Elephas maximus indicus: one gene and its partners. The protein of the gene in region 4 binds, or shares a complex with, the protein of the main gene of each other region. Links are inferred from orthologs where the notes say so. Each region holds a gene or a part of one and is shown on either strand. Other genes may lie near its edges. The genes, in order: SF3B2, PRPF4, CRIPT and SNRPE.

Evidence for each region.
Region 1: SNRPE (region 4) and SF3B2 share a complex: the UniProt entries of both Homo sapiens proteins name them as parts of the minor spliceosome. The link is inferred for Elephas maximus indicus from reciprocal best matches to the Homo sapiens genes SNRPE and SF3B2.
Region 2: SNRPE (region 4) and PRPF4 share a complex: the UniProt entries of both Homo sapiens proteins name them as parts of the U4/U6-U5 tri-snRNP complex. The link is inferred for Elephas maximus indicus from reciprocal best matches to the Homo sapiens genes SNRPE and PRPF4.
Region 3: SNRPE (region 4) and CRIPT share a complex: the UniProt entries of both Homo sapiens proteins name them as parts of the minor spliceosome. The link is inferred for Elephas maximus indicus from reciprocal best matches to the Homo sapiens genes SNRPE and CRIPT.

What each region holds. Positions count from the first base shown.
Region 1 is NC_064825.1:129,193,534-129,200,712, forward strand, and holds the start of SF3B2 (splicing factor 3B subunit 2), read left to right. Parts: upstream 1-4,177; 5' UTR 4,178-4,225; coding exon 4,226-4,358; intron 4,359-4,539; coding exon 4,540-4,586; intron 4,587-4,898; coding exon 4,899-4,976; intron 4,977-5,974; coding exon 5,975-6,223; intron 6,224-7,179. UniProt on the Homo sapiens protein: Component of the 17S U2 SnRNP complex of the spliceosome, a large ribonucleoprotein complex that removes introns from transcribed pre-mRNAs.
Region 2 is NC_064827.1:62,533,621-62,541,417, forward strand, and holds the start of PRPF4 (U4/U6 small nuclear ribonucleoprotein Prp4), read left to right. Parts: upstream 1-4,785; 5' UTR 4,786-4,828; coding exon 4,829-4,972; intron 4,973-5,526; coding exon 5,527-5,710; intron 5,711-7,530; coding exon 7,531-7,717; intron 7,718-7,797. UniProt on the Homo sapiens protein: Plays a role in pre-mRNA splicing as component of the U4/U6-U5 tri-snRNP complex that is involved in spliceosome assembly, and as component of the precatalytic spliceosome (spliceosome B complex).
Region 3 is NC_064844.1:15,567,536-15,574,366, reverse strand, and holds the start of CRIPT (cysteine-rich PDZ-binding protein), read left to right. Parts: upstream 1-3,821; 5' UTR 3,822-3,912; coding exon 3,913-3,928; intron 3,929-6,831. Other genes in the region: PIGF (phosphatidylinositol-glycan biosynthesis class F protein), read right to left, coding at 3-94, 1,182-1,430, 3,195-3,284. UniProt on the Homo sapiens protein: As a component of the minor spliceosome, involved in the splicing of U12-type introns in pre-mRNAs. Involved in the cytoskeletal anchoring of DLG4 in excitatory synapses.
Region 4 is NC_064836.1:13,038,320-13,045,812, forward strand, and holds the start of SNRPE (small nuclear ribonucleoprotein E), read left to right. Parts: upstream 1-4,489; 5' UTR 4,490-4,552; coding exon 4,553-4,606; intron 4,607-5,085; coding exon 5,086-5,112; intron 5,113-6,210; coding exon 6,211-6,273; intron 6,274-7,257; coding exon 7,258-7,336; intron 7,337-7,493. UniProt on the Homo sapiens protein: Plays a role in pre-mRNA splicing as a core component of the spliceosomal U1, U2, U4 and U5 small nuclear ribonucleoproteins (snRNPs), the building blocks of the spliceosome.

The DNA of each region.
Region 1 (7,179 bases), on a different chromosome or scaffold from region 4:
CCTGGGGACCCCATCCTGACTTGAGGGATGGCACAGACGGGTGAGTGGGGAAACTGACCTGGGCACTAGGGAGGAAGGGGCTAAAGGACGTAGAGGGTTGCAAATTAATGACCCCGGGAGATCAGATATCCTTCCATCTCCCTCTCCTCCTTTTCTTCTCCTAGCCTGCGCCAGGTCCCCAGCCCCCTCTCCCTGTCATCCACCTCCACATCCCTGTCTCCCAATTTCCTACATCCTTCTCTCTCCATCACTACCCACCCCCACCATTCCCTCGATTTCCTCCCAACCTCTCCCAGGGCTCCGGTCACCAGGCGCAGGTCACCCTGAGGCACAGGCCAGCGTCGCCCTCTGCCCCGTCCTCTCCCGTTCCCCACAGGGCAGCGCGCCCCTCCTCCAGCGCCCAGGCTCTAGGCCCCCAGACACTCCGCCCACCGTCGTCCCCTAGCCCCGGGCAACCACTGCAGTACTCACGCCGCGCGGGCTCTGCCTCCAGCCGGGCTGCTGCGGCGTGGTCACCGCTACCCACCCGCCTCTGGTCCTGAGCTCTGCGCGAGTCCTAGGTGGCCGGGGCCCTGCGCGCCAAATGCCGACCGCTCGCCGCGCGGCGCCTCGATGGGATCAGGTGGCGGCGGCCGCTCGGCTCCACTCGGCTCTGCTTTGCCCGCCGCCCGCCCCCCATCGCACACCGGAGGCGGGGCGGGGGCCGGGAGCAGGAGAGGGGGAGGGGCTCGAAGGGGAGGGGGCGGCCTGGCGGAGCTGGCGGCGCTACCGGCGTTGCAGGGGAACTCTCTCCCCGGAGCGTCTTGGGGTGTGGGCATCTTCACCCGGCAGCCTCGCAGGGGCTGGACACCAACGCGGCCAGCCCTCTTCCCTAGCTGAACTGAAGGGAAAACTGAGGCCAGGAAGGTGTCTGAATACTCCAGTGTAGCCGGGCCCCCCTCGTGGAGTTAGACGCACAGAGAGATGCGTTTACGGGCACCCACGTGCTCCCTCTCCCTCTCCTTCTCCTTTCCACCTGCGCAAGAAGCGCAGCTCCAACCCCTGGTCTGGATCCATCTGCCCTCACACCCAGAGACTCCTTCCTTCCAACCTGCGGTCCACACTCCCCGGGTCCTGCCCCCGTCCCTCACCCACTCCTACTCCCCACCAGGACTCCTTACCAAAGCTTTAGTGGGACCTGGACCCCCGACTGGGTACTGTGCATCAGGAATCAGAGGACCGAATTCCATCCTGGTTTGTCACTGAATCTCCGAGTTAAGAGGCAATGCCCTGAGCCCATGGCTTCCAGCTCCAGCTCTAAAATGGGAACAACGGCCCTGTTTCCTGGAGCTTTTCTGGGGCTGTAGAGATAATACAGGCGAAGGCTCTGTGTACACCCCAGTGTGTGTAGGGGGGTAGTCCTGAATTTTCCACTGCCTCCTTAGTCCTTGGAGTCCCTGGGCAGTGCAAATGGTTAGCACTCAGCTCTTAATCAGAAGGTTGGAGGTTTGAGTCCTCCCGGAGGTGCCTGGGAAGAAAGTCGTGTTCTTCTACTTAAGAAAAATCAGTCATCGAGAACTCAATGGAGCACAGTTCTACTCTGACATACATGAGGTCACCATGACTGGGAATTGACTCAATGGCAACTGGATTCTTAGTTCTTAGCTCCTGCCACCTGGGAGTTGGGCAGCAGTACCTCCCCCAAACCAGGCCAGTTGTCAAGAGCCCTTCATTCTGTTCTGGGAGGGACCCCTGCTTTCTCCTTTCCTGTGGGCTGGCGTGGCAGGGGTGCTGGGGCAGCCAATCAAAGCTGGGACTAATTGGGCTGGATACCCCCATTCCAAGCCAACTCAGGTAATTGGTGGGTGTTGAGGAGCAGAAGGGAATGGGGACTTTCAGCATCAGGAGAGCTGCTTGTGGTCGCAGTTCAGCCCTTTGGGCCTGTCAGCTTCTCTCTGCCCATCAAGCTTCCCTTTTGCACAATGGAGCCAGGGGGAGGGAGCGGGTAGTCCTACCCCGCCTGCCTCCCAGGGCTGTTGTGCTGAAATGAGGCCCTGCTTGGTGTGTCCCTTTCTGGCCCTGGCTACATTGCCTCCTCACCAGTCAGTCTTTACCCTAGACTGCTCAGACAGTGACCCCTCCCCCAGCAGGTTGGGGCACCTGAGGGCCTCCAGCCTCAGATGACCTGCTGGGGCTCTCAGGTTTCAGAAGCAGAAAGAGTCTTCCTTTGGGTCCAAAGTGGTTCTGCCTGAGTGGGCTGACGAGCTGGAGGGGAGGGCACCACTGTTCTTTCTTCTATGCTGTCTTTCTGGGAGTGGCAGCTGGCAACTGGGATGGTGGTCATGATGGAAGGGGTTTGGGCAGGAGTGAAAGGAACTTCCTGGCTCAGTCCTATTCCCTATTTTTCCTAGACCTCACCTCCCCTAGACCTGGGGCCGCATTCTTTCTCTGTTCCCAGCTACTTTGCTGTTGGGGGCAGTTGGTGAAATGGAGCCAGACAGAGAGAAGATCTGAAGGCAGTGTGTGTGTGGTGGGGACAGGGGTGGGTTATCCAACAGGCAGATTACCAGATCATTTGAAGTTTCAAAGATGTGAAACCCATGTGAAATTGTTCACTACAGATTAGTAAGCACAAGTAAGCCTGTGCTTACCTTGTTTACTAGGTCATCTGGTTGTCAAGGATTGTAACTTTGAAAAGAGGCTTTGATTTTGTAGGAAGGTGCTGTGGGATTGGGAGAGCGACAGATGCCAGCCATACCTAGAAGCAGAGTCTTTGATGTGATGAAAAAATGTGTGCTTACCTTGCCTATTGGATAATCCGCCCCTAGGTGGGGGTAGTAAATAAGACCATTTTACCTGAGTGCCCCCCAACTAAACACACACACACACACACACACACACACGCACGCAGTGAGCCTGGCAGTCAGGATGGGAGAGGGACCTCAGAACTAGTGGCAGATGTGGGAAGGAGAGATTGATGGGAGGAGGGAGACGCGCGGTAGCCAGACAGGTAAAAGCACCTGTCCATGCCCCTGGCAGGCCCTGGGGGTTGGGTGGGGTGGGGGGGGGGTGGAGGAGAACGGGGTCGCCTGCCACTGGGCTGGAGGGGCTCAGAGAAGCAGAGGTCCTGAGTTTGGACTACAACCAAAACCAAAGCCGCTGCCCTCGAGTTGATTCCAACTCATAGCGACTCTATAGGACAGAGTAGAACTGCCCCATAGAGCTTCCAAGGAGCGCCTGGTGGATTTGAACTACCAACCTTTTTTGGTTAGCAGCTGTAGCACTTAACCACTAAGCCACCAGGGTTTCCAGTTTAGACTAAGGAAGATGTAAATCTTGCCACCATTAAGATTGCTTCATTTACTCTTTTGCACTCATCTTTATTGAGTGCTTCTTGGATCCCAGATGCCGCATGCCAGACAGCAAAATGACCAGGTACCTGCTCACGTTCTTGGGGATGGAGGTGAGTGTGGAGAGAAGGGCAAAAAACAAACAGTAGAGGTTTGAACGTGTTATGAGAGCTCCAAGAATAGGAAAGCGGGAGAAGGCTTAACGGAGGAGACACTTGAGCCGGCCCGGAAGGTGGAAATGGGGCTTTAGTGTTGCCCTTCCCCCAGGTCGGGAGTTGGAGCTCAGCCCGGGCGGGCCCGCTCCTCTCCCGGCTCCGATCCCCTTACAGCCCATTCATCCATGTCTGGGCCGGGGGCGGGCGGGCAGACAATCAGACACTGTTTTATCACAGGCATCGGCTCCAGCCTCCCGCTTGGCGCCCGCAACGTTCGGCCACCGGGGGAAAGGGCCTCTCGGGCGTCCCTGGAAACACGAGCGTCCCGGCTCTCACGCCTATTCAGGGAGTCGGGCCGGAAGGCTGATAGTCCGCGCTCGGGCAGGCGAGACGCAGAAAGCGTCCTTCCAACTAGACAGCTTTGGCCGCAGCAACGTCCGCCCGTAGGGTTTCCCGGAGCTGTAATGGGCACTGTATTCCTGGCGCTGGACCCGCAGTGACCGTCAGCTGCGTACTACAACTCCCAGAAGGCTTCGCGACCAGGCCATCTGCGGACCACTGGATAAAGGGCGCGTCTGTTGGCGAATCACGTTTCCCGGCCGTTGGTCCGGGGTGGCCCTCTAGCCGAACAGCCCTCCAATCCGCGGGCGGGCTGCTGGACGTCGTCCCCGGAAGTTCCGGGAAGTGGGCCCGGAGCTGGCCCTGGCATCCGGGTTGGTCGCGCGCCTTCCTGCGGCTAAGATGGCGACCGAGCATCCCGAGCCTCCCAAAGGGGAGCTACAGCTGCCGCCGCCGCCACCCCCAGGGCACTATGGTGCCTGGGCTGCCCAGGAGCTTCAGGCTAAGTTGGCAGAGATTGGAGCGCCGATCCAGGGTGAGGAGCGCGGAAGGTCAAGAGGGGACTACATGGGCCTGCAGAGAAGCGGAGCCTTGTTACCTCGGAGACTCGGGGGCAGGGGGCGGAGGCGGGCTAATAGGGCCCGCCCTGGCCGGGTCGGCCGGACCTAGCCCACTCCGACCCAGCATTGATCACTGACTCTGTGTTTGCCACGCAGGGAGTCGCGAGGAGCTGGTGGAGCGGCTGCAGACCTACACCCGCCAGGTAAGTGCCAGCGGAGGGACGTCAGGATAGACCAGGCTTCTCAAGGCAGCCTTCAAGACATCACGGCTCGGTCTTCATTCTTAGTGCTCCCGGCACAGCAAGGTCTTGCACTTTTTTGCATGCTCTTGCTTGTTCTTGACTTTACCTGTTCTGTTGTCATAGCTTTATGCATAGTGGCCCTCCCCAGTGCCCGAGCTCCAAGCTCCTGCAGACGGGCACTGGGTAAGCTTTGTTGAATGAATGAGAGGGAACGTCGTTTATTGGATCAGTGCTTCTTGACCTGGTCTAGAGTTGTTCGTTCTTTTTTTGCAGACTGGCATGGTGCTGAATCGGCCGGTTCTCAGAAGAGATGATGGGGACAAAGCTGCTCCCCCTCCCATGTCAGCACAGGTGAGGAAGTTGTTCTACTTTATAAGGTCTCTTCTACCCAGGATAGGCACATCTTCTCATGTGCAGTGCACTGGGAATGCAGTTAGCAGGGTGGGCAGGGAGGTACTCCGTGGACAGAAGTGGGAGCCCTTCAGTTCTCTCTTGGTCCTGATACCTGCCTCCTTCTCCAACATTTGCTCCTCCAAATTCTATTTGACATTCAAGACTCACCTCTCAATTTCCATGTGCCTTCTGATCCAGCAGTGGCCAACCTGGGCTCCATTGACCTCAATGGATGGGGTGATGAGTCCCTAGATGGCTTTCAGACGTGTTCCTGAAGCTCCTGAAATTGTATGCAAAATTCGTTTTTTTGGAGAGAGAGTTGATAGTTTTTCTCTGTCGATGCTCCAAAGTTAACATTTTCTTTTCTTGGTTAATATCTGGGCCGTCCTCTTCCTGTATTCAAGAATCACGTGTTAAAGTTGCTGTCGTTAGATGCCTTCAAGTCAGTTTTTGACTCTTACTGACCCCATGTGACAGAGTAGAACTGTCCTGTAGGGTTTTCAGCCTGTAATCCTTACGGGAACAGATTGCCAGGTCTTTCTCTTGCAGAGCCACTGGGGCGTTTGAATCACCAACCTTTGCATTAGCAGCCACGTGCTTAACTGTTGCACCACCAGGGCTCATTGTGTGTTAACCCAAAACCAAACCAAACTCACTGCTGTCAAGTGGGCTCCAACTTATAGCGACCCTATAGAACAGAATAAAACTGCCCTGTTGGGTTTCCTGAGCTATAATCTTTACAGATGTAGACTGCCATATTTTTTTCCTATGGAATAGTTGGTGGGTTAGCAGCCGAGCACTTTAAGCATTGTGCCACCAGGGTTCCTTCCTTGTGTGTTAAGGAGGGAAAAAAGAAAGAATAATATGTTATTTGACTTTGAATCCCAGCACCCAGCAAATATCTGTAGGATAAATAGATAAGTGCTTCCTAGTTTACACTCATACTTTCTTCGCAGCTCTCCGGGATTCCCATGCCACCGCCACCCATGGGACTCCCCCCTCTACAACCTCCTCCACCACCCCCACCACCTCCACCAGGCCTTGGCCTTGGCTTTCCTATGGCAGGCGGACCCCACCCACCAAACTTGGGGCCCCCTCCTCCCCTCCGTGTGGGTGAGCCTGTGGCGCTGTCTGAGGAGGAACGGCTGAAGCTGGCACAGCAGCAGGCAGCATTGCTGATGCAGCAGGAGGAACGTGCCAAGCAGGTAGGGCAGGGGAGAGCCTGCGGCTAGGCCGAATCAGGCCCCTGAAAGGGGAGTGGAGCTCTAGAGGGAGCTGGATCGTAGGGCTGAGGCTTCTGGGAAGGTCTGGATCAATGCTTAGAACCTAGGCTGTAGGCCGGATGAGGACCACAGGAAGCAGAGTTGTGTTAGACAGAGGAATGGGGTTAGGCTGTAGGCCGGATGAGGACCACAGGAAGCAGAGTGGTGTCAGACAGGTGTGTGGGGTTAGGCTGTAGGCCGGATGAGGACCACAGGAAGCAGAGTGGTGTCAGACAGGTGTGTGGGGTTAGGCTGTAGGCCGGATAAGGACCACAGGAAGCAGAGTGGTGTCAGACAGGTGTGTGGGGTAAGGCTGTAGGCCGGATGAGGACCACAGGAGGCAGAGTGGTGTCAGACAGGTGTGTGGGGTTAGGCTGTAGGCTGGATAAGGACCACAGGAAGCAGAGTGGTGTCAGACAGGTGTGTGGGGTTAGGCTGTAGGCCGATTGAGGACCACAGGAGGCAGAGTGGTGTCAGACAGGTGTGTGGGGTTAGGCTGTAGGCTGGATAAGGACCACAGGAAGCAGAGTGGTGTCAGACAGGTGTGTGGGGTTAGGCTGTAGGCCGATTGAGGACCACAGGAGGCAGAGTGGTGTCAGACAGGTGTGTGGGGTTAGGCTGTAGGCCGGATGAGGACCACAGGAAGCAGAGTTGTGTTAGACAGGTGTGTGGGGTTAGGCTGTAGGCCGATTGAGGACCACAGGAAGCAGAGTGGTGTCAGACAGGTGTGCGGGGTTAGGCTGTAGGCCGGATGAGGACCACAGGAAGCAGAGTTGTGTCAGACAGGTGTGTGGGGTTAGGCTGTAGGCCGGATGAGGACCACAGGAAGCAGAGTTGTGTTAGACAGGTGTGTGGGGTTAGGCTGTAGGCCGATTGAGGACCACAGGAAGCAGAGTGGT
Region 2 (7,797 bases), on a different chromosome or scaffold from region 4:
TCCGCTGACCCTGTACTTTGCCAAGCATGATGTCCTTCTCCAGAGACTGATCCCTCCTGACAACACGTCCAAAGTATGTAAGACGCAGTCTCATCATCCTTGCTTCTAAGGAGCATTCTGGTTGTACTTCTTCCAAGACAGATTTGTTCGTTCTTCTGGCAGTCCATGGTATATTCAATATTCTTCAACAACACCACAATTCAAAGGCGTCAACTCTTCTTTGGTCTTCCTTATTCGTTGTCCAGCTTTCATATGCATATGATGCAATTGAAAATACCATGGCTTGGGTCAGGAGCACCTTAGTTTTCAAGGTGATATCTTTGTTCTTCAACACTTTAAAGAGGTCCTTTGCAGCAGATTTACCCAGTGCAATGCGTCTTTTGATTTCTTGACTGCTGCTTCCATGGCTGTTGATTGTGGATCCAAGTAAAATGAAATCTTTGACAACTTCAATCTTTTCTCCGTTTATCGTGATGTTGCTCACTAGTCCAGTTGTGAGGATTTTTGTTTTCTGTATGTTGAGGTGCAATCCATACTGAAGGCTGTGGTCTTTGATCTTCATTAGTAAGTGCTTCAAGTCCTCTTCACTTTCAGCAAGAAAGTTTGTCATCTGCATAACGCAGGCTGTTAATGAGTCCTCTAATCCTGATGCTCTGTTCTTCTTCATATAGTCCAGCTTCTCATATTATTTGCTCAGCATACAGATTGAATAGGTATGGTTAAAGAATACAACCCTGACGCACACCTTTCCTGACTTTAAACCAATCAGTATCCCCTTGTTCTGTCCGAACAACTGCCTCTTGATCTATGGAAAGGTTCCTCCTTATGCACAATTAACTGTTCTGGAATTCCTGTTCTTCACAACGTTACCCATAATTTGTTATGATCCACACAGTCGAATGCCTTTGCATGGTCAATAAAACACAGGTAAACATCCTTCCGGTATTCTCTGCTTTCAGCCAGGATCCATCTGACATCAGCAATGATATCCCTGGTTCCACGTCCTCTTCTGAAACCAGCCTGAATTTCTGGCAGTTCCCTGTCGATATACTGCTGCAGCCGTTTTTTGAGTGATCTTCAGCAAAATTTTGTGTGTGATATTAATGATAAAAAAAAAAAAATTTTTTTTTATTAATGATACTATCCTATAATTTTCACATTCGGTTGGATCACCTTTCTTGGGAATAGGCATAAATATGGATCTCTTCCAGTCAGTTGGCCAGGAAGCTGTCTTCCATATTTCTTGGCATAGATGAGTGAGCACCTCCAGTGCTGCATCTGTTTGTTGAAACATCTCAATTGATATTCCTTCAATTCCTGGAGCCTTGTTTTTCGCCAATGCCTTCAGAGTAGCTTGGACTTCTTCCTTCAGTACCATCGGTTCCTGATCATATGCTACCTCTTGAAATGGTTGAACATTGACTAATTCTTTTTGGTATAACGACTCTGTGTATTCCTTCCATCTTTTTTTGATGCTTCCTGTGTCGTTTAATATTTTCCCCATGGAATTCTTAACTATTGCAACTCGAGGCTTGAATTTTTTCTTCAGTTCTTTCAGCTTGAGAAACGCTGAGCATGTTCTCCCCTTTTGGTTTTTCATCTCCAGCTCTTTGCACATGTCATTATAATACTTTACTTTGTCTTCTCGAGAGGCCCTTTGAAATCTTCTGTTCAGTTCTTTTACTTCATCAATTCTTCCTTTTGCTTTAGCTGCTCGATGCTCAAGAGCAAGTATCAGAGTCTCCTCTGACATCCACCTTGGTCTTTTCTTTCTTACTTTAAGGTGTTAAAAAGCGAAGATGTTACTTTGAGAACTAAGGTGCACGTGACTCAAGCCATCGTATTTTCAACCTCCTTATATGCATGCAAAAGGTGGACTATGAATAAGGAAGACCAAAGAAAAATGGGTGCCTTTGAATTATGGTGTTGGTGAAGAATATTGGACTGCCAGAACAATGAACAAATCTGTCTTGGAAGAAGTACAGCCAGAAAGCTCCTTAGAAGTGAGGATGGTGAAACTTCACCTCACGTACTTTGGACATGCTATCATGAGGGGCCAGTCCCTGGAGAAGGACATCATGCTTGGTAAAGTAGAGGGTCAGCCAGAGAGTAAGACCCTCAATAAGATGGACTGCCACAGTGGTTGCAACAATGGGCTCAAGCATAGCAACGATTGTGAGGATGGCAGAGGAGCAGGCAGCGTTTCGTTTTGCTGTACAAAGGGTCGCTACGAGTCGGACACGACTCGACGGCACCGAACAAGAAGTGGGAGAGTGGACATGCCATTAAGTTTAATCCACTAGACATGAGAATTGTCAGAGATTTCTGATCACTCCAGAACACTGAAGTTTGCTACATTTCATGAAAACTCCCTCTAACTCACCAGTTCACAGGATTATCCTCAGAGTCTGAATGGATAAGTCATTTATTCAGTGAACGCTTCTTGTGTTTCAGCTACAGAGTTAAAGGACACAGTCTGTGGGGAAACAGTCAAGGAAACAGAAAATTACGACACAGAATAACAAGAACTCTGATGAGGCTAATACAATGGCATCACAGAGGCACCTAAACCCAGTTGAACGTGGGGTGGGCAGGAATGTCAGGAGGGCTTCCTAGTGAAGAGGACGTCTTAGTTCAGTTCTGAAGGACAAGCAGAGAAAGGGGACTAAAGGCATTCCAGGCAGATAGGAGTTTGCAGAGGCTTAAGAGAGTACTACACAGTCTAAGAACCCAAGGTAATACTTGTGTTAACAAAAAGAACAAGTATTTTTTGAGAAGAAAACAAAACTCCCACAACTGAGTTTAACATCTGTTGATGGCATTATCTTTACATTCTCCACAGCATCCAGTAGAATGTATTTTTATCAAGTAGTCAGTAAATACTTGTTGAATAAAATGAGAGATCTAATAGAGAACGTGAGATGAACTTTTTTTGAGTACTGTTCTAAGATTTTCCTCTCCTTTCTTTACATTCTTAGTTTAATCTTCACAGAAACCCTGTGAAGCTGACAAAATTATCCCCATTTTTCAGATAAAGAAGTTGAAGCAAGCTGTTCAATTTTGGCTAATAATGTGGGCCTCCTATAATCACACATACATCACAGGATGAGGATTAAATGAGAATAGTGTAAAAGAATGCCCTTTATAAGTATGTGCAGACATAAATTTTTATTTGTAGCTAGGGACTGTGAAGTATGCAAATAAAGGTATGTTTCCTCTTCCCATGAAGCTTGGGACTGATATTACCAACATAAAACTCTGGCACATTACATTTCAAACTGCTTTGCACTAAATCAGATAGACTCTTCTACCAGATTCCAATGTAAACAAGTGGTAGAAGAAGCCAAATTTCCAAAGAAAGCATGAGGCGGAAGGAAGGGTAAATACTTAAGAGAAAAAAGTGCTATAAGTTTTCTTAGCTTTTCTGCAGACTGAAAAGCTGGACACTAGGAAGTTGTGTAGAGGAATGGTTTAAAAGTGCTGGGGCTCCCACTCTGCCACTGACGGTGAACAATTAGTATCAGCTCTCACTAGACCTTAGTTTCCTTCCCTGTATCTGTACTCTGTGGTAACGACTGAATGACATAAGGCAGATCAACCTCCTGGCACATAATTTGGCATTTAGGAAACGCCAACGCTAGAGGGCAAAAGGAAAGGTTGGCGGTTGGCGTATGCCTAGAGCTGCCTCAGAAGAAAGGCCTGGTGATCTACTTCCGAAAAATCAGCCACTGAAAACCCTATGGAGCGCAGCTCTACTGTAACACACTTGGGGTCACCACATGTCAGTATGTTTCCACAGCAACTGGTTTTTGGTTTCATTATTATCGTAATTTTCCTCAGTAGAGGGGCGCCTCCATCCAGCTCCGCTAACACCAGTATTCTGAGGCTCCCTCATTCACCCTGTGAGTGCAAAAACCTTGTTTTGTATAATCTCTGATGCCCCAGCACGCAGCAGGGCACAGGGCTGTGCCGAGAGTTGCCTGTGTATACCTTACCTGTCCCCTTCATATCCATCACCTCACTCTGAATCTGAAAGAAAGACCGGTGGAGAGCTAACAACCAAATCAGGCCATGGCTCCTCCGCCCAGTATTTTATTTTGGCGCTAACGGGCTCTTCGAGCTTAATCTCCAGCCGCTGCCCAAATCCTCCAGAAATTCACAACTCAGAGGGAGTCCTTAGGAGGGCTTCCGGACAGCAGGCAACAACCCTCCTCCAGAGCCAGGGAAGCACTCAGGGGTTCAGGGCGATGGTTTCCACGGCAACAAGGTCCCCCGCTCCAGGACAACATAAAGTCTCCCGTAGGCCCAGGAGGGACTGCAGGCCCCGGAAGTCATCAATTAGCTCCAAGGTTCAGCCCGGAGTCGCGCCACTGCATACACATACCTCCTTTCAAGCCTGCTCAGCTCAGCCCCTTCCCGGAACCTTAGCGCCCATCACCAATCTACCGCTAAAACGAGTGGACTACACTTCCCAGACTTCTCTGAGACTCTCTCTGCAGACTCTTGTCTCCCGCGTGGTTTACTCGGAAGCTGCACAGGTCACGCCTCCAGACGTGACGAGAATCTACCCTACTACGATTCCCATCAAGCTCCGCGCTACCCCAGTCGCTGCGCCGGTTCTAGGCCCAGTTCCGGTCGATGACGTAGTTCCGCTTTGCTGGGCGCGCGGTGGACGGTCTGAACGTACCGCTCGGTTTTCGCTGGAGTTTGCGGCTCCAGAGCCCGGCATGGCCGCCTCACGACCTCCTTCCACGGTACAGAACTCGGAATCTCTGCTTACTGTGGCAGGGAGCGCCGAGTGATTACTGCAGGATGGGGCCGCTAGGAAATGGATAAGGCGGTGGAGGGAGGAGGAGGGAGAGAGACTGCGGTACTCATTGTTCCATTATGGAGCCGAGCAGCGCTATCCTGGTACCTGAGCGTTTTCATACGCTTTGGTCTCTTTCGTCTCTCTCGCTACAGCCCTGGAACGGTAAACACTTCCTCCGACTGGTCCCAAAGCGGAGACCTGAAGGAGGGAAATGTCTTGGTCAAGATTCACGTCTATGTCAGTTGTAATGAGGCCTCCTAACCCCGTATCTGTTGTCGTTTGAAATGTATAGACCAGGAATTTACGTTAGCACCTGGTTAGCTATTTCATTCAAATAACCAGCCTTTCATTCAAAAGATTTCAACCAAATCCTTGCTGTTTCCCTCGTGATAAGCAATAATCTTAGAAGGTTCATAAAACCCAAGAAGAGATTGCACTTCCAACCGACATGAAGTAAACAGATTCCAAAGTAAAACGTTGATAGAAAAATCACCAAGAGAAATTCATTAGTTTTATCGACCTTCTGCTACCTGTCTGCAAAACTTAAGTGATGGAGGGATGGAAACACCCTTCAAATCAGGGAAGAACATCTTAACTGGTGTCCAACTTGCCCTTTCATTCGGGGAGGAAATAGGATTGAAGCTCAGGATGAGCTTTGGGGACGCCTAGTAGATTGCTAAGATTAAGCCTTAAATTAATTCAGTTCTTTGGTTTAGCAGGGAACCAAAACCTCTAAGGCACCTGATGACTTAGTTGCTCCTGTTGTGAAGAAACCCCACATCTATTATGGAAGTTTGGAAGAGAAGGAGAGGGAACGTCTGGCCAAAGGAGAGTCTGGAATTTTGGGGAAAGAAGGACTTAAAGCAGGAATCGAAGCTGGAAATATTAACATAACCTCTGGTGAGATGCAATTTGAGTCTCTCTTTACGTTTGATGCTCAAATTTTCTATAGTGAATACCTTCCTAGATAATTATCACTAGTTTTGTGGTCTCTAAAGTTTTCAATTCTTAAACTTGCACCTGTAAGGCCATACTTTGCCTACCACCCTTAGCATCATTTGGAGAGCCTGTTTCTTAGGATCTTTTATACAGTTTTTTGTTCCGTGGATTGTTAGGAATTTACTCAGATGTTTAGGTATTTGGGCTCAGATTGATTGTGTTTGTCTTCTAGAGAGCTAGGATAGTTGTGGCATTGGTTTGGAGCTATTGTGGTTCATAACGTTCTCCCTTTTTTTAGTTTTCCAATTATTTTTCAGCCAGAGTGAAACCTGTGTTTTTTAAGTATAAAAGTAATAGCTGTTTTTATTTTTGTTAAATCAAAAATGTAGAGATGTACGAAGTAGAAAATCCCGTGATCCTTATTAATTAGGTGTGTATCCATCCAGAGGCTACTCAAAAAAGGCCTGGCAATCTGCTTCCAAAAAATCAGCCATTGAAAACCCTGTGGAGTGTAATCCTATTCCTACATACATGGGGTCACCATGATTCTGAATCGACTCTATGGCAACTGGGTATCTTTCTGAGAATTTTAATATAGCTATAAAAATACATATTTTTTTTCCATAAATGAAACCATGATGTACAAATTGTTTTGTAACCTGTGTTTTCACTCTGTATGCTGCTGCGGGTATTGTTCCATGTCAGTACCGAGGAGTTTGCTGTATTTTTTAAAATAAAAGTATGCACGGTTGTCATAAGAAATTTAAATGGTACAGAAGAATATAAAATGAAGACTCCTCTGCAGAAAGTTTCTTGTCAAGCCTCCCATTAACCTTTTATGCTGTTTTCAAACACAATTGCATCACTATTGTACCTCTTATTTTTCATCAAAATGCTCATATTTGGTTTGGGTTTTAAAACTTGTTGTTAGGTTGTAAAAAGCCTTATAATCATGGAAAGCTCATCTTCATAGTAATTAGTTTCAGTTAACTAGTTGTATTTCTATGCTATACTGGGACTGTTAGAGAGTAACTTTGGCAATTACTAAAATAGTGTTTCTATTTTATCTTTTGGATAGAAGGGCTTTGGTAAAGATGTTTTATACTCCTTTTTTTTTTTTTTCTTGTCATTCACATTTTGTTATTTTTTTAGATATACCAGCATGTATTTTTTTTTTTAATTGTGCTTTAGGTGCAAGTTTACAGTTCAAGTAAATTTCTCATTCAGAAATTTATAGACATACTGTTTTGTGACATTGGTTGCAATCCCCACCATGTGACAGCACACTCCCCCTTTCCACTCTGGGTTCCGTATGTTCATTCATCCAGTTCCTGTCCCTTCCTGCCTTCTCGTCATGCTCTTGAACAAGAGTTGCCCTTTTGGTCTCACGGGTGTTATTTTGTTTTATAGCCTGTCTAATTTTTGTTTGAAAAGTGGGTTGCAGGAATGTTTTCAGTTCTGGGTTAGCAGAGTGTTCAGGGGCCATAGTTTCGGGGATTTGTATCCTTACCCTCTGATCCCATCTAAGTTATGTGTTTTTATTAGGTGTAAGGTTGCCAAAATGACTTGAACCACTTTCCTGCCTTTTAAAGCTGTGTCATTTAGTTTTACGTATTTGACGTAATTTAGTAAACTGAAAAATGGTAAACTATCTATAAAACGTGTACTAGACTGGACAGTTGCCTTTCCCTAGTGGCATACGTAGACGACAGTTGTTAGAAATTATCTCTTTCTATTTGAAGATCTGGTGATTATACTGAAGTTGCCCGTTCTTTTTATAGGAGAAGTGTTTGAAATTGAAGAACACATCAGTGAGCGACAGGCAGAAGTATTGGCTGAGTTTGAGAGAAGAAAGCGAGCCCGGCAAATCAATGTTTCCACAGATGACTCAGAGGTCAAGGCTTGCCTTAGAGCCTTGGGAGAACCCATCACACTTTTTGGAGAGGGCCCTGCTGAAAGAAGAGAGAGGTGCCCTTCCTAATTCCTAAATATTTACTCTTCTTTTTTTTTTAATCACAAGGTTCTAGTTCCAAATTTGTCAGTCTTCG
Region 3 (6,831 bases), on a different chromosome or scaffold from region 4:
ACTCTATTAGCGGCGCTCCATATAGAACAAATATTACATGAAAGCAGAAACAGGACATAAGAAAGTAGATGCAGCACTTCAAAAATCTGCCTACCTAAAAAAGAAAGGAATAATTTAAAGGCTCATCAGAACACCCAGAAGACAACAAATCCTTCCATTTTATCTACAGACACAAATCATTACCGTAATGTGTGAAACACCTGAATGCCCCTTGGATCTGAGGACCAAAGAGTCAAATCACACGTCCTGTGTGAAGTCAAGCACACAGCTGCAATACAGCTTTGTAGGAAGGGCTAAAAGGCGAGTACCACTCTCCTGTGTCCCGAACCCAACAAACACTAGAGTGAAAAAGGGGTTCTGTTTCTATGGCATATATTGAGCTTTGTATTTAATCAATATTTTTTGATAACAGAATGCAGGGATCCAAGAAAGCACAAAACACAGTCCTTATTACCAAAGAGCTGCAGAGACGATACATGAAATAGCTGCAAAATAAATATCAACTACAATAACTTATTTTATTTAAAAAAAAAAAAAACTTCCTAGGAAATTTTGCACCAAAAAAGCAAATTACTAAATAATCCCCCAAATCACATTCATGTTACTGTATGACCCACATGCAAAAAGACCTGCCTATCTGCAAATCAGTATGAGACCCGCTTATCTGGAGCTTAAATAAAGAAGATATAATTGTAAAACACACACATTGACCTTTTAGACTCATAAAGCAATACAAGTACCTTAAATTACCTAACACAGAGCTTACACATAGTATTGAATAATGTTAAGTGAGGACTTTATTAAATTGTCAACATGTCACACTGCAGTAAAGTAATTAATACTAAAGAAAATAAATTCTAACACCTGAAAACTTCACCACTGTTTAGTCAAGGAAGGCTGTGTTCAAAACAACAGAGCCACCATGGAGGCTCTTTTATAATTCCTGAGAACTCCATTAAGTGTCTTTCAGAAATGCAAAAATAAATGAAAATAAACTGCCCTAACTTCATAAATACTATCTATCAAACATTGTGGACAAACTTCTAGCAAGCAATTGGCCACTGATTTGAAAAAGAAACACCAGGTTAGTGAAAACTGAACTAATACTTTATTCTTCCATTAAAAAAAAAAACAACCCACTAGCCCCATTCAAAAACCAATTATGAAGGAATGAGCCTTACCTTGTGTGATAATGAGCTTCTTCTAGAGGGTGGATTTGGCTTCACTACCAAATAGAATACTAGATTGACGGCAGTTACAGAAACAGAACAGATGCACAGCCATGTCAAGTGGGTTTCCAATACTGAGAAGTCCTCCAAGAAGAGTGATGGAATGAAGGTGCTTAGGATAACTGAAAATATGCACAGGAGATGGGCATACAATAGTCTCCTGATGTCAGTATCTTTCATGGTGTTTTCTTCAGTGGCTATCTAGTGAAAAACAAATTAACGAAGTAAGAGCATATTCAATAACAAGTTCTTCCGTTGTCTCAAACGTTCCAACCCCTCATAATCAGCCATGAATTAAAGTCAATTTCTAGGCAATAATGTTTTTTTGCAAAAAATAGAAAGATGCATATGTGTTAACGCACAGGTAAATTTAACATTTTACCTTAGACCCTCTTACTGTGGTACTGATTCTTCCACCCAAACAGCTCTCAGAGCCTAAAAAGGACAAATTTACTAGTTTCTCAAATATTTGTAACTGGTTTCTGCAAAAGGGACATGTGCTAGGACCAATTAAGCAATTCATTTTACTTTTTTTGGCCAAAATCATGGAGATCAAAACTGCACAGATAAAATCATTTGGTTGGAAATATAACATATGCTGTCTAGAAACCCCATGAATACACTTTGGCCAAGTTGTTGTTGTTGTCTTCTACCACTCTGGATCCTTAGTCCAGCATCACAGTATTTACATCTTCTGGCAAATACACAGAAGCCCTGATGGCACAGTGGTTAAGAGCTTGGCTGCTAACCAAAAGGTCAACAGTTTGCATCTACTAGCCGCCCCTTGGAAACTCTCTGGGGCAGGCAGTTCCACTCTGTCCTACAGGGTCATCATGAGTCGGAATCGACTCAACGCCAACGGGTTACGCAAATACCAAGTGATACTAAGTGCACACTCAAATATTCAAATGATGGTGCCAAAGTAATCAAGGGAGTTCAAAGAGTGTTATGCTAAGGGACTCCAAAAACCAAAGCAGTTGCCATCCAGTCCATTTCAACTCATGGCGACCCCATGTGTTGCAGAGTAGAACTGTGCTCCATGTGGTTTTCGAGGTTGTGATAGTTTTCAAGCAGATCTTCTGAGGAGCCCCATGACTCAGGGACTCACTCCTAACGGATCCCATTTCTCCAGAGATACCAAAATGATAATGCCTCTTAGATGGCTGTTGAAAGAATGATGTTAACCCAAACCAAAAACCAAACCCAGTGCCGCTGAGTCAATTCTGACTCATAGGGACCCTATAGGACAGAGTAGAACTGCCCCATAGTTTCCAAGGAGTGCCTGGTGGATTCCAACTGCTGAACCTTTGGTTAGCAGCCATAGCGCTTAACCACTACACCACCAGGGTTTCCAAAGGATGATGTCACAGGTGCTATATTCCAATCAAAAGTAAAACATTAATGGAAGGAGGAAAAAAATGTACTTTTGGCACATACACATATACATACATACTGAGCGACCGTGAAAGAGCACGTGAGAGAATGATTGTCAAAGGCAAATATTTTACTGATAAGGAAACAAATTAAGATATGTTAAGAGACACATCCAAGGTCCTAAGCTCCCAAGTGCTAAAGCCACTCCAAAGCCTGGCCTCTTTATATCACACCAGGCATCGGGAAGAGATCGAAGGGGAAGATGAGACAAAACAGGTTTCTCACGGGTTCTAGCCTCAACAAACTGGGAAAGAAGGGCAATATTCAACAACAGATACCCCTTCGGGCACCATTCATCTCGGCCATTCTCAGAATGCCACCTGATATCAATGGATTTGGATCTAAGATAACGAGCAGTACCCATACTCCATGTTTGTTGAATGAATGCCCGAACGAGTAGGTAGAGGTTGCCCACAAACAAACGCAGGGGCCCTTCCTGAGAAACAAGCACTGTTAGGCCCTGGCGTGCCCGGGAAGACACCTAACAGGAGCCCCATGGGAAGGCCACCGCCCTGGCGCCGTCGGTTTCACCTGGCTCAGATCGACGGGTATTACAGCCGGTGAGAAGGCTCCTCTGAGCTGCTCCCAGAGAAGCCTTCCTGGGAATCGCGGGACGTCCATCTGCAGCCCCACCCCAAACTGGTCGATCAGGGCTCTGCCCAAGCTTCACCCGGCGGGATTACAGGTGGCAAAGAGCACAGGCGGTGGACACCAGAGAAAACAGGTACAGAGGCAAAAGTCGGATCCGAACCACAGTCGGTCCATCAGGGAAGCCCCTGGGGTCACGCCGGAATGGTGGCGCTCGAGCGGACGGTGGGGCACAGAGACTCGCGCCCACTGCGGCCGTTGCTGGGGGCTGCTCGCACCTCCGGGGGACGAGCGAGCCGGGGGCTCCAGCTGGGCTTACCTAACTCTCCCGCCCGCGGATGGGAAGGGGAGGCTGCCGCCACCCACCATCAGGTGCGACTCGCTGCCCTGACCCTCGCGCAGGCGCAAGGTCGTGGGGGCGGAACCCGAGCCCCAACAGCCAATCGCAAAGGAGAGGAGGCGGGCATATGGAGAAGCCCCGCCCACCGGCTCGCGTTTATTCCTCCCGCGGCTTTCCAGGTGTAGGATAGGCCGGAGCTCGGGGTTGAGAGGCCGGAAGTAGATCGACGTACCCGGAAGGAAAATCCTTTTCGGGTTGTAGTGTTGATGTTTGCGAGCTGCTGCTGCTATTGTTGTTAAGGGAACCGTCGTCTTCTGAAGGATGGTGTGCGAAAAATGTGAGTTAAGGGGCCGGTTCTGCGGGAGAAGGAGGCTAGCGAACCTAGGTGGACTTCCCGGGACCGTTGCCTTTCTTTTTCTTCTTCTCACAGGTCTCTTCATTCTAGTCTCTGTTCTGCTACCCTGCCCTTTGACCATTCACCCCCCTCTCCAGCTACCAAGCCAAACCCAATGCCGTCGAGTCGATTCCGACTCATAGCGACCCTGTAGGACAAAGTAGAACTGTCCCCTGGGGTTTCCAAGGAGCGCCTGGTGCATTCAAAATGCCGACCTTTTGGTTACCAGCCGAGCTCTTAACCGCTGCGCCACCAGGGCTCCAAGTGACCATATTCTACCAAAAATCACTGCTGCCATCGAGTCGATTCCGGTTCATAGCGACCCTATAGGACAGTAGAACTGCTTCCTCCAGCCCCGATCTCATCCCACATAGCTTCTTGACTGATTCCTTCACCTCATAGACACTCGGGTTTGGAATGGATCTTAAAAATCACATCTATAGTATCTTGTTGCCAGAGGTAGCAAATAAAAACACAGGATGTTCAGTTAAATGTAAATTTCAGATAAACCACGGATTATTTTTTTAGTATGAGTGTGTCACTTGGGTCTTGGCCATGTTTGTTGTCCCTTGCTATCTTTAGGACATACTTTACTAAAACTATTATTCATTGTTTATCTGAAATTCCAGTTTAACTAGGCAGGTGAGGGTGGAGAGACTTCATCTCAGTTACTTCGGACATTTTACCAGGAGGGGCCAATCCCTGGAGAAGGACATCATGCTTGGTAAAGTAGAGGTCATTGAAAAAAGAGGAAGACCCTCAACAAAATGGATTGACACAGTGACTACAACGGTGGGCTCAAACATACCTACTATTGTGAGGATGGCACAGGACTGGGCAATGTTTTATTCTGTTATATGTGGGGTCGCTATGAGTTGGAACAGACTCCAGGGGACCTAACAACATTTTTCTGTCAACCCTAAGTCACCCTCCCATCCAATGGTTTATATATTCTTTTCATGAATATCTACAGTATTGGGGCAGACAGGGATGGGAGAATCTCACCACCTCCAGAGCCGTTTACGTAGACATCGTTGGCTTTTAGAAAAGCCTACCTGCCTGTAGTTGCCACCCATTGATTCTAATGCAGACCCTTGAAATTTGTAGAAAACACCTCATGGCTTTTTAATCTTGTTGTTAGTTGCTGTCCATTCGATTGAGACTCATGGTGTTACTTCATAGTGTTGTCTTGGCTGTATCTTAATGGAAGCAGATCATCAAGTCTATTCTTCTGAGGTACCACTGGATGGGTTCAAACTGCCAACGTTTAGGTTAGCCTCTGAGAGCAAACCGTTTGTGCCCCCTACCCACTACCGTCGAGTCGATTCCGACTCATAGCGACCCTATAGGACAGAGTAGAACTGCCCATAGAGTTTCCAAGGAGCGCCTGGCGGATTTGAACTGCTCACCTCTTGGTTAGCAGCCGTAGCTCTTAACCACTATGCCACCAGGGTTTCCTTGTGCCGCGTAGGGACCTTTTTTTGATCTTCAAGCTGTTTATATTTAGCTTAAAAACAGCTGTCATATCCCCAAGTCTCATATCTTCTGGTTAAACATGTCTGGCTCTTTTCTCTCATTAAGCTTTTTTTAATTATAACTTCATTGAGATACAATCCACATAGCATACAATTCCCCCGCTTAAAGCGTACAATTCAGTGGTTTTTAGTATATTCACAGGATTGTGCAGCCCTCACCACGATGCATTTTAGACCATTTTCATCGCCTCAAAAAGCACATTAAACTTTTCACGTTGACATACTTTAACTGTTTTCCTTCCTGCACACAGCAGAGTTTGTTTGGCTGGTTTTTTGAGTGAATGTGACTTAATTATTTTCCAGTTATGCACCTGCCCTGACATCTTTTCTGTTCCATTGTGCACTTCTTAAATGTGTAAGTTTGGCCTTCCATGTAACTTGGGTTAATTTTGTGTAGTTTAACTTTTGAGAGGACAGGAGTTCTGTCTGGTTTTGTTTGTTATGCATAATACCCCTTAGTACTTTAAGTGCTTTGTCCCAGGAAAATTGAAAATACTGGGGAAACTGTGAGAGTTAATTTCTCAAGGTACACAGTAATTTTGGGAATCCAAGATCAGATGTGGTACTAAAATATACATATTTGATTCTGGGACATGATGTGTATCATAAAAGCTTGTTCCCTTTTTTCTTCTCTGCTGTTCTGTAAGTCTAGCCCTTTATTATATCTTTGGTCAAATACCTTCCTACCACCTAGACCATCTTGTTCCTTAAATGAAAATATACTCTCTCTATTGTATTTTTCTTATCTCCCAATACATCCACTCATTCTACTCTATAAATAAGCTCAGATCTCTCCCATACATAAAGCTGCACTCTCAAGTATCCACCTTAGCTCTCTCTTTCCATTCTCTGTAAAATTTTCAGAGACTTGGCTACATTCATTGCCTCCAGATTTTCACAGTTGCCTTTGAGCACCTTGCAAACTTACTTTCATCTTACCACATTTCTGAAAGGATTTTCAAAAGTTTGCCAGTGATCTGGTCACCAAGGTCAATGACCTTTTTTTCAGTCCTGCTTTACTTCTTTCTACGCTTCTTTAGCATTCTGCTCTTTAAGTTTTCTTATTTCTCCTTCCTCTCTTAAAGTAGATGTTCCCCAGTGGTCCATCTTTGATCTTCTTTTCTCTACTTTTTTTTTTTTTTCGCTTTTTCTTTGGAAGTGTTGGGCTTCAAGGAGTACCTCTATGCAGATGAGTGTTGAGTCCATGCTGGCAGCCCTCACTTCTCTCTTACCTGAGCACCAGCCGAACAGCTTTTTCTAAACAATACTGGGAAGCTTTACTTGGTTGTTATCTGGTAGTTTAATACTTCC
Region 4 (7,493 bases):
CAGAGATTTATCTCAAGGAAATAGCTCACACATTTGTAGAGGCTGGCAAGACCCAAGTCTGCGGGTCAGGGATCAGTCTGGAGGCTTCTCTTGACTCGTGTAGCTACGGGGGCTGATGAACTCAAGATCGGCAGGTCAGACGTAAGGTCACTGGCTCACAGAGTGCAGAGGCTGATGAATCCAAGATCAGCAGGTAAGATGACAGGCTGTTGGCTCACAGGCTGTGGAGGCCAATGAATCCTGAGATCAGCAGGCAGTATAGTTGGTTGCTGGCTCAAATACCAAAAACCAAAGGTCAGATGTTGATGAGCCAGATGCAGGATCCAGAGCAAGCAAGTGAGCTTTGTCAGAAGGTTCACATATATACTGGATGCAGGCCACACCCCCGAGGAAATGCCCCTCACAACTGATTGGCTGATCGCATCAGATCGCATCATGGAGGATGACTACATCATTACATAACTGCCAAATCACTGAGACTCATGGCCCAGCCAAGTTAGCACACAACCTTAACTATCACACCAAACCTTGCCATGGAAAAAAGGTTGGAACAGAACTGATAATCAAATTCATGGTCTGAAAAGATGGTCATACAGCATTGTCTTAAAGAAAAATTAAAATAATTACCAATTTACCCTAAACATAGCACCCAGTCTGTCCTTTGGAGTCTGTTTTCTGAAACTGACTTAATTCTTCAAAAGAGCACAATGCCCAAGGCAAAATGGCCTTATTAGCTTATTTAGAGGTTTTTTTTTTTAGACCATTGTTTGACTCAAATGTGACACTTAGGAACCAGTTTCTTCAAGGCTAAAGGTTCAAAAGGACACCTAACTGCAAATGGCCTGGGTCAGTCACCCCAACTCCACGGATCCAGAAATCTGTGTTTCAGGAGAATATAAATGGTTTCTCATCCTTAAGTAACAACACCCCACCACCCCCTCTCTCCAGCCCTTGGTAGCCACTAATATAAATTTACTTCTACGTATTTGCCTCTTCTAGTGTCTTAGGATGGGTTCTCTACAAAAGCAAAACCAGTAAAGCCTATATATATATATGTATGTATGTATGTATATATATATATACACACACACACACATATATAAAGAGATTATACCAAGGAGATGGCTCACATGGTAGTAGAGACTGGAGTGTCCCAATTCCGTGTGTCAGGATAGAGGCTTCTCCTGATTCATGTAGCTGCAGGGGCTGGCAAACCCAAGATAGGCAGGTCAGAGAACAGGGCTATTGCTCACAGGCTGCGAAGATCAATGAGTCGCAAGATTAGCAGGCAAGACCGCAGGTAAGCTACTAGCTCAAGTCCCGAGAGCCAGAAGTCAGACAAACAGGAGCTGCAGGATCCAGCACAAATGAAAAGCCCTCAAGTCTTACCAGAATGTCCGCTTATATTTAATGCAGGCCACACACCCAAGGAAACTCCCTTTCAACTGATTGGCTACTTACAGCAGCAGATCCCATCATGGGGGTGATCACATACCAAATCTCAACAGGAAAGTGATCACAACATAATACGACTGCCAAAAACACTGAGAATCATGGCCCAGCCAAGGTGACACTCAGTCTTAACCATCACATCTAGATAGTTCATAGAAGTGGAATCATACAATATTCTTTTGTGCCTGACATTTCACTCAGCACAATGCTTTCAAGGTTCATCCATGCTGTAGCATGTATCAGAACTTCATTTCTCTTTATGACTGAATAATTTCCACTGTATGTATCACATTTATTTATCCACTGATGGACTTTCAGGTTGTTTCCACCTTTTGGCTACTGTGAATGATGCTGCAGTGAACACTGGTGTGTAAGTATCAGTTTGAGTCCCTGCTTTCAGTTCTTTGAAATTGGAATTGCTGAGTTCATACCACTTTTTTTTAACTTTGCCATCTAATGGGGAAAAAATGATATTTCACTGTAGTTTAGTCTGCATTTCTCTTATAATAACTGAAGTTGGGTATCTGTTCATAAGTTTGAAGACCATTTTATTTTGTTAATGAACTGATTAAGAAATCATACTACCCTGCCAGAGAGACCATGTGGAGAGGCCCCAAGACTACATAGAGAGGGAAAGGGACCCAGCCAATGCCAGCCTTCCAAAGATACCCACCAAGGCCTTAGATATGTCTCCTGAAGAATTACCCAACTGAGCTCGGCCTAAATTCCTGACTCGCAAAATCATAAATTATAATAAAATGGTTGCTGTTTTAAGTCAATAAGTTTTGGAAAATTTTCATACACAGCACTAGAGAGCCAAAACAGCATTTAACATTTTAGATTTTATTTTCAGGAGCTCTTTATGTGTTAGCGAAATTAGCCATTTGTCTGATTTGTTGCAAATAACATATTTTCCCCAATTCTTCTGACTTTGCTTATCATCATGCCTTTTTAGTCTTGTAAAACTTTATAATTTTTATGTAGTTGATTTGTCTTTTAACAAATGGTTAGAGCATACAATTGAGGAAAAGACTCAATTTTTAAATAAGAGAGATGAAGAGTCTAGGATTAAATTTAAGAATTGGACAAGTTTTATATGAAGAAAACAAAAAACTTCTGTAGGATTCAAAGGAATACTTGGACAAATGAAAAGACATCGTGTACTTGAATTAAAAAAAATTTAGTTATTCTAAAGTTTAATGAAATCTCAAAAAAAAAAAAAAAATCCCCAAAGGGTTTTGAAAACTGATTCTGAAGAGTATATGAAAGTAACTAAACAAGAATAGCTTGGAAAATGCTACCTATTTCTAGTTCTATAGAAGAAAACATATTTATAAAGCTACAATACTTACAACTATGATATTGGTTCCATAGACACAAGGATCAATTGAACAAAGTAGAAGTCCCAGATACACACACACAAACACACACACTTGATATATTATAAATGTGGCATTTTAAAATAATAGGGGGAAAGATGAGGTTTTTTTTTTTTTGTAACGGTGATGGAAAACTGATAGCTGTTAGGAAAATATAAAGTTGTATCACCTCTAGGATATACAAGGATACTAGGATAAATTCAGGTGGAGCAGCAAAGACTTAAATGTAAAAAAGACAATTACAAAAAAAGAAAAAGGAAACAACACAACACTCTTAATGAGTTACATAATCCAGTTACATGAGTGGTTATAGGGATCAACACCCAAAAGTCCAGTAACAGGAAAATGCTAAAACAAGTAGCTAAGCATCTGTGCATTTGAGACAGGTATTACACTACTACTGAATAGGTAGGTGTTAATACTACTACTCTTGTGTTCTATCCATATAGGGTCCCTACAAGTAGGGATTGACTTGACGGCAATGGGTTTGGTTTTGGGGGGTTTTGTGTTCTATCCCGGCTGTCTTTGAATTCAGCAAATCTTTACCCAAATCTTTGTCCAATTAACTCCGTTCAGAGCATGGGGTAGGAATGAGGTTAAGAGAAATAACTGTCCCATGACCTTTCTAGCTCTTTATAGTTAAAAAATCACTTCTATGTCCCCTGATTCAACACTTTTGAAGAGGTAGAAATTGGTTTTATCCTCATTCAACAAAAGACCTCAGTTAGGTAAGTTCTGATTCTGCCACTTTCCGTTAATGTCCCTTAGGCAAGTCCCTTCAACTCTGAGCTTCAGTTTCCTCATTTAAAAAATGAGTGTTCCAATTGAATGAAATTTCTGCCAGGCCACAAGCCACCACGACATAACGGAAACACTGGATGAGCTTTGGGGTGTGGCATACTTGCGCATTTCAGCTCCCCCACTCACTAGGTCGTTACCAGCGAAACGGTGTGTCACATCTAACACTGACTCCAGCCTGAACGTGTGTGTGTGTGCGCACTGTATTACACCACTGAATTCTCACCACAAACCCGTAAGGAAGGTACTATTAATTTTATCTCCATTTTGCACATTTCGGTCACGTAACTATTAAGTGAGCTGGATTTGAGCCCAGCATCGGATTTCAGAGCCTTCACGCTAAATCACCACGTTGTTGCCACCTCACAAAACTCCCCCACGGAGCTGACGAGAGGAGTTGAATCCGTCACTAGGGCAAACCACAGACTGGGGCTGTTTGCTCGGGCTTCCTGCCGCTCTCCCCGCGCTCGCCCCACAACGCTGCCGTCGAGCCTAAATTCCAGGAAGCTAGGCCTCAGGAAAAGGACTAATTTAACCCATTTTACAGACAGAGACACGCAATAGGACGACTACGGCTCTAAAAGCGGAAATCAGAAAACGGAAACGACCTGGTGCCTGTGTTTCTACCGCTTTCCCCCGCTTCCACCGCACGACCGAAGTCCCTCGGGGCTTTCTCCCGTCTCCCTCCAGGTGGCGCTGTAGGATCGGATCAGGTTCCGATCCTACCGAGTGCAGCGCCCTCAGTTCGGCCTCCCCGGGATGCTACAGATCACAGAGAAAGCCACTCTGCGGCTAGAGAGGCACCACCCAGTAGCCGTCAGGTCGCTGCGCGGCCTCAATACATTTCCGTTTCCGGTTCCTAATTCCGGAAGTCGCTTTCTGCGTCGGCGTGCGGCTTAGTGTGGTCTTTGTGAGCTTCCACCATGGCTTACCGTGGCCAGGGCCAGAAAGTGCAGAAGGTGATGGTGCAGCCCATCGTATCCTGCTTGAGATGTCAGGACTAGGAGATTCGGGCTAGGAAACGGAGGACGAAGGAGCGGGCAGAGACCCGGCCTGAAGGCGAGGAGTGCGGGTTACATCCCATGAGCCTCCGGGGTGATCGAGACCGGGAGAAAGCGCGGGTAGTTGGACTGGTGCTGGGTGGGAGGTGAGGATAGGCCGACCCCGGGGGTGGGAGATGTAGGATGTCGAGGCTGAGCGGAGGGACGACATCGCTGGGTACTGAGTGAACGCAGAATTACCGGTTTGAGGGAGGTTGTCGGGGCGATGGAAACTCCTGACGGATAAGGGAGTGGGGGGGATTCCTTCCGGGTTTTTAGGAGACTTCGGTTGAGTGCCATTTGTTGGGCACTGTTACTTGTGTAGGCAGCAGACCTCACGTTCAGAAAACAAACCAAAAAAAAAAAAAAAAGTGCGATGGTTGAGATCGACCAGTTCCTTAACTACTGTGATGCAGAACCTTATCTTCAGATATTTGCAAAATGTACGTAAGTTACTTGTTTCATAATGATTTTTTAAGTAAAAGTTGGGTTTTCTAAGCTGTATGTGTCAGTCTACTGGGTCGCTGTGTTCTATGTTAAAAATAAATGAAATCAGAGGAGGGGCTGGAGGGATAATTGACAGGAAAGGGTACAGAGAAGCCTTAATATAAGAAAGTAGTTATTTACAGCTGTCAACTCCAAGCGTGCAAAGAATTGTGTCATTTCTTTCCAAAACCAAAATTATGAGTTTCAGGGTTTGTTCGTTGGCAGACGTGTTGATAGTATTTGGTGCTTTTGTTGTAGTGATTATGACCAGAATATGGGAACGTTCTGATCTCCTCCACTTAGGGTTGCCAGAAGGTCAAACATGGCTTAAAAGAAATACCCAGTTAACTTAAACCATGTCGTGAGATGTGTGCTTAATGCCTATGGGAAAACTTACATATAGAAAAGACGTTTAAAAATGTGGAGTGAAGAAGTAGATTCAGCCTGCTTTCCTTTGGGGGGATTTTTAGCAATACTTTCAGTTGACAGGTCAGATGTTAAAATTATCTCTGAAAGAAAATGTTTCTGTTGCTCTGACAAGTTTTAGTGTGTGATAAGTAACACAGTTGAAAAACAGAGTAATTTCAAGCCCCGTAAATTGTAAACACCGGAATTGGTGATCCTCCTCTGGTGGTTATGTGTGTGACACGGAGGGCTGAGAAGCTAGAAGAAGCCTTGCTTTGGAGCTGGATTTTGCTTTATCAGATACAACATATGCCCTTAATCTTGATCGTCGGAATTTACTGCTTTGTGCTATACTGTCACCAATTTTTAATCTCAGTGGATTGGGATTATAAGTAATGAGAAATATGATTGAGTCCTGAGATCACAGCCAATTTGTTAGCCCAGACAATCACAGTATAACATTTAATAAATGAAAAGGTTTCTTGGCAAGTAACCTATCTTGACTCTTAGGTATAGACTTGCTGGTTAAAATTCTTGACTTATATTTTTCGGATAGTTTTTTAGGAGCCATAGTTCATCTCTGTTGTTTAACCAAAGTGATTAGATTGTATTTACTTATTCTAACATTTCTTTTTTTATGATTATTTCAGAGATCCCGGATTCAGGTGTGGCTGTATGAGCAAGTGAATATGCGGATAGAGGGCTGTATCATAGTGAGTACCCAGGATATTTTATCTCAGAGCAGTTTGTTCCCAGAAAAAGACTTAACGGAAAGTGGCTAGGCAGAGCAATATATGGAAAATTGAAGATTCAACCCAAGGAAAGTTTTTCAGGGCCCCCTGGTTAGCCTTGTCATTGTTCTAGTTGTTAGGGGTTGGGTAATTCAAAAAAGAACAGGAAAATTAAGCTTTTAGGATTACTTAAACAACAATATTGGCATTGCGGAAGGGGACAAAAGAGATAAACCAGTTGCCATCGAGTTGATTCCAACTCATAGCAACCCTAAAGGACAGAGTAGATCTGCCCCATAGGTTTTCCAAGGCTGTAATCCTTACAGAAGTGGATTGTCATATCTTTCTTCTGCAGAGTGGCTGGTGGGTTTAAACTCCCAACCTTTTGGTTGGCAGCTGAGCGCTTAACTGGTGCCCCACCAGGGCTTCCTCAGAAAAAATAAAACATAAATTTAGAAGGGGAGATTAATGGAAGCATGGCTGAAAGTATTACGTCAGAGCACTCTGGTATTCCATTTAGACATGGCAATTCCGTTTAGACATCTTAGATTTCATCGGTAATCTCCCCTGCCCGATTTACCGGTCGGGAAACAAATGTGGTTAGTGGTAATAGCATATTGTGGGGACACAGGGGGAGAGCATTGGCAGAAGATAATCATAGACATACACACATACTCTATCAGGCAGGTTGTGAAAGAGAGCAAGAGTGGCTCCTTGGCATAGCTAATGAAATCCTAAGTCCAAGAGGTTTGAGTAGTAATTTAGAATACCTTCTGGCTTTCTTTGTTACTTAAAAAGAGACTTAGGGTGAAGGTGGTGCTTACATATGCCTTACTTTAGATGAAAGATCAGTAGAGGGACGAATTTCTGAAGTTCATTGGCATTCTGTATCTAGATAGATACACTCATTTTTGAATGGTTTGAATGTGATCTAACTCGATGATGGTCCTGTGGCTTATTTTCTAGGGTTTTGATGAGTATATGAACCTTGTGTTAGATGATGCAGAAGAGATTCATTCTAAAACAAAGTCAAGAAAACAACTGGGTAAGAATATAGATGGCCTTACAGAATCCTAGAAAGGTTTATTCAGTTGCAAAATTAGTGACCTGCAGCTCAGTTCATTCTTAAATTTAGTTTGCATTTGAGAAGTTATTGTTTGGGGGAGTAGTGTACTCTTTCGAAATCATCCTCTCCCACTTAC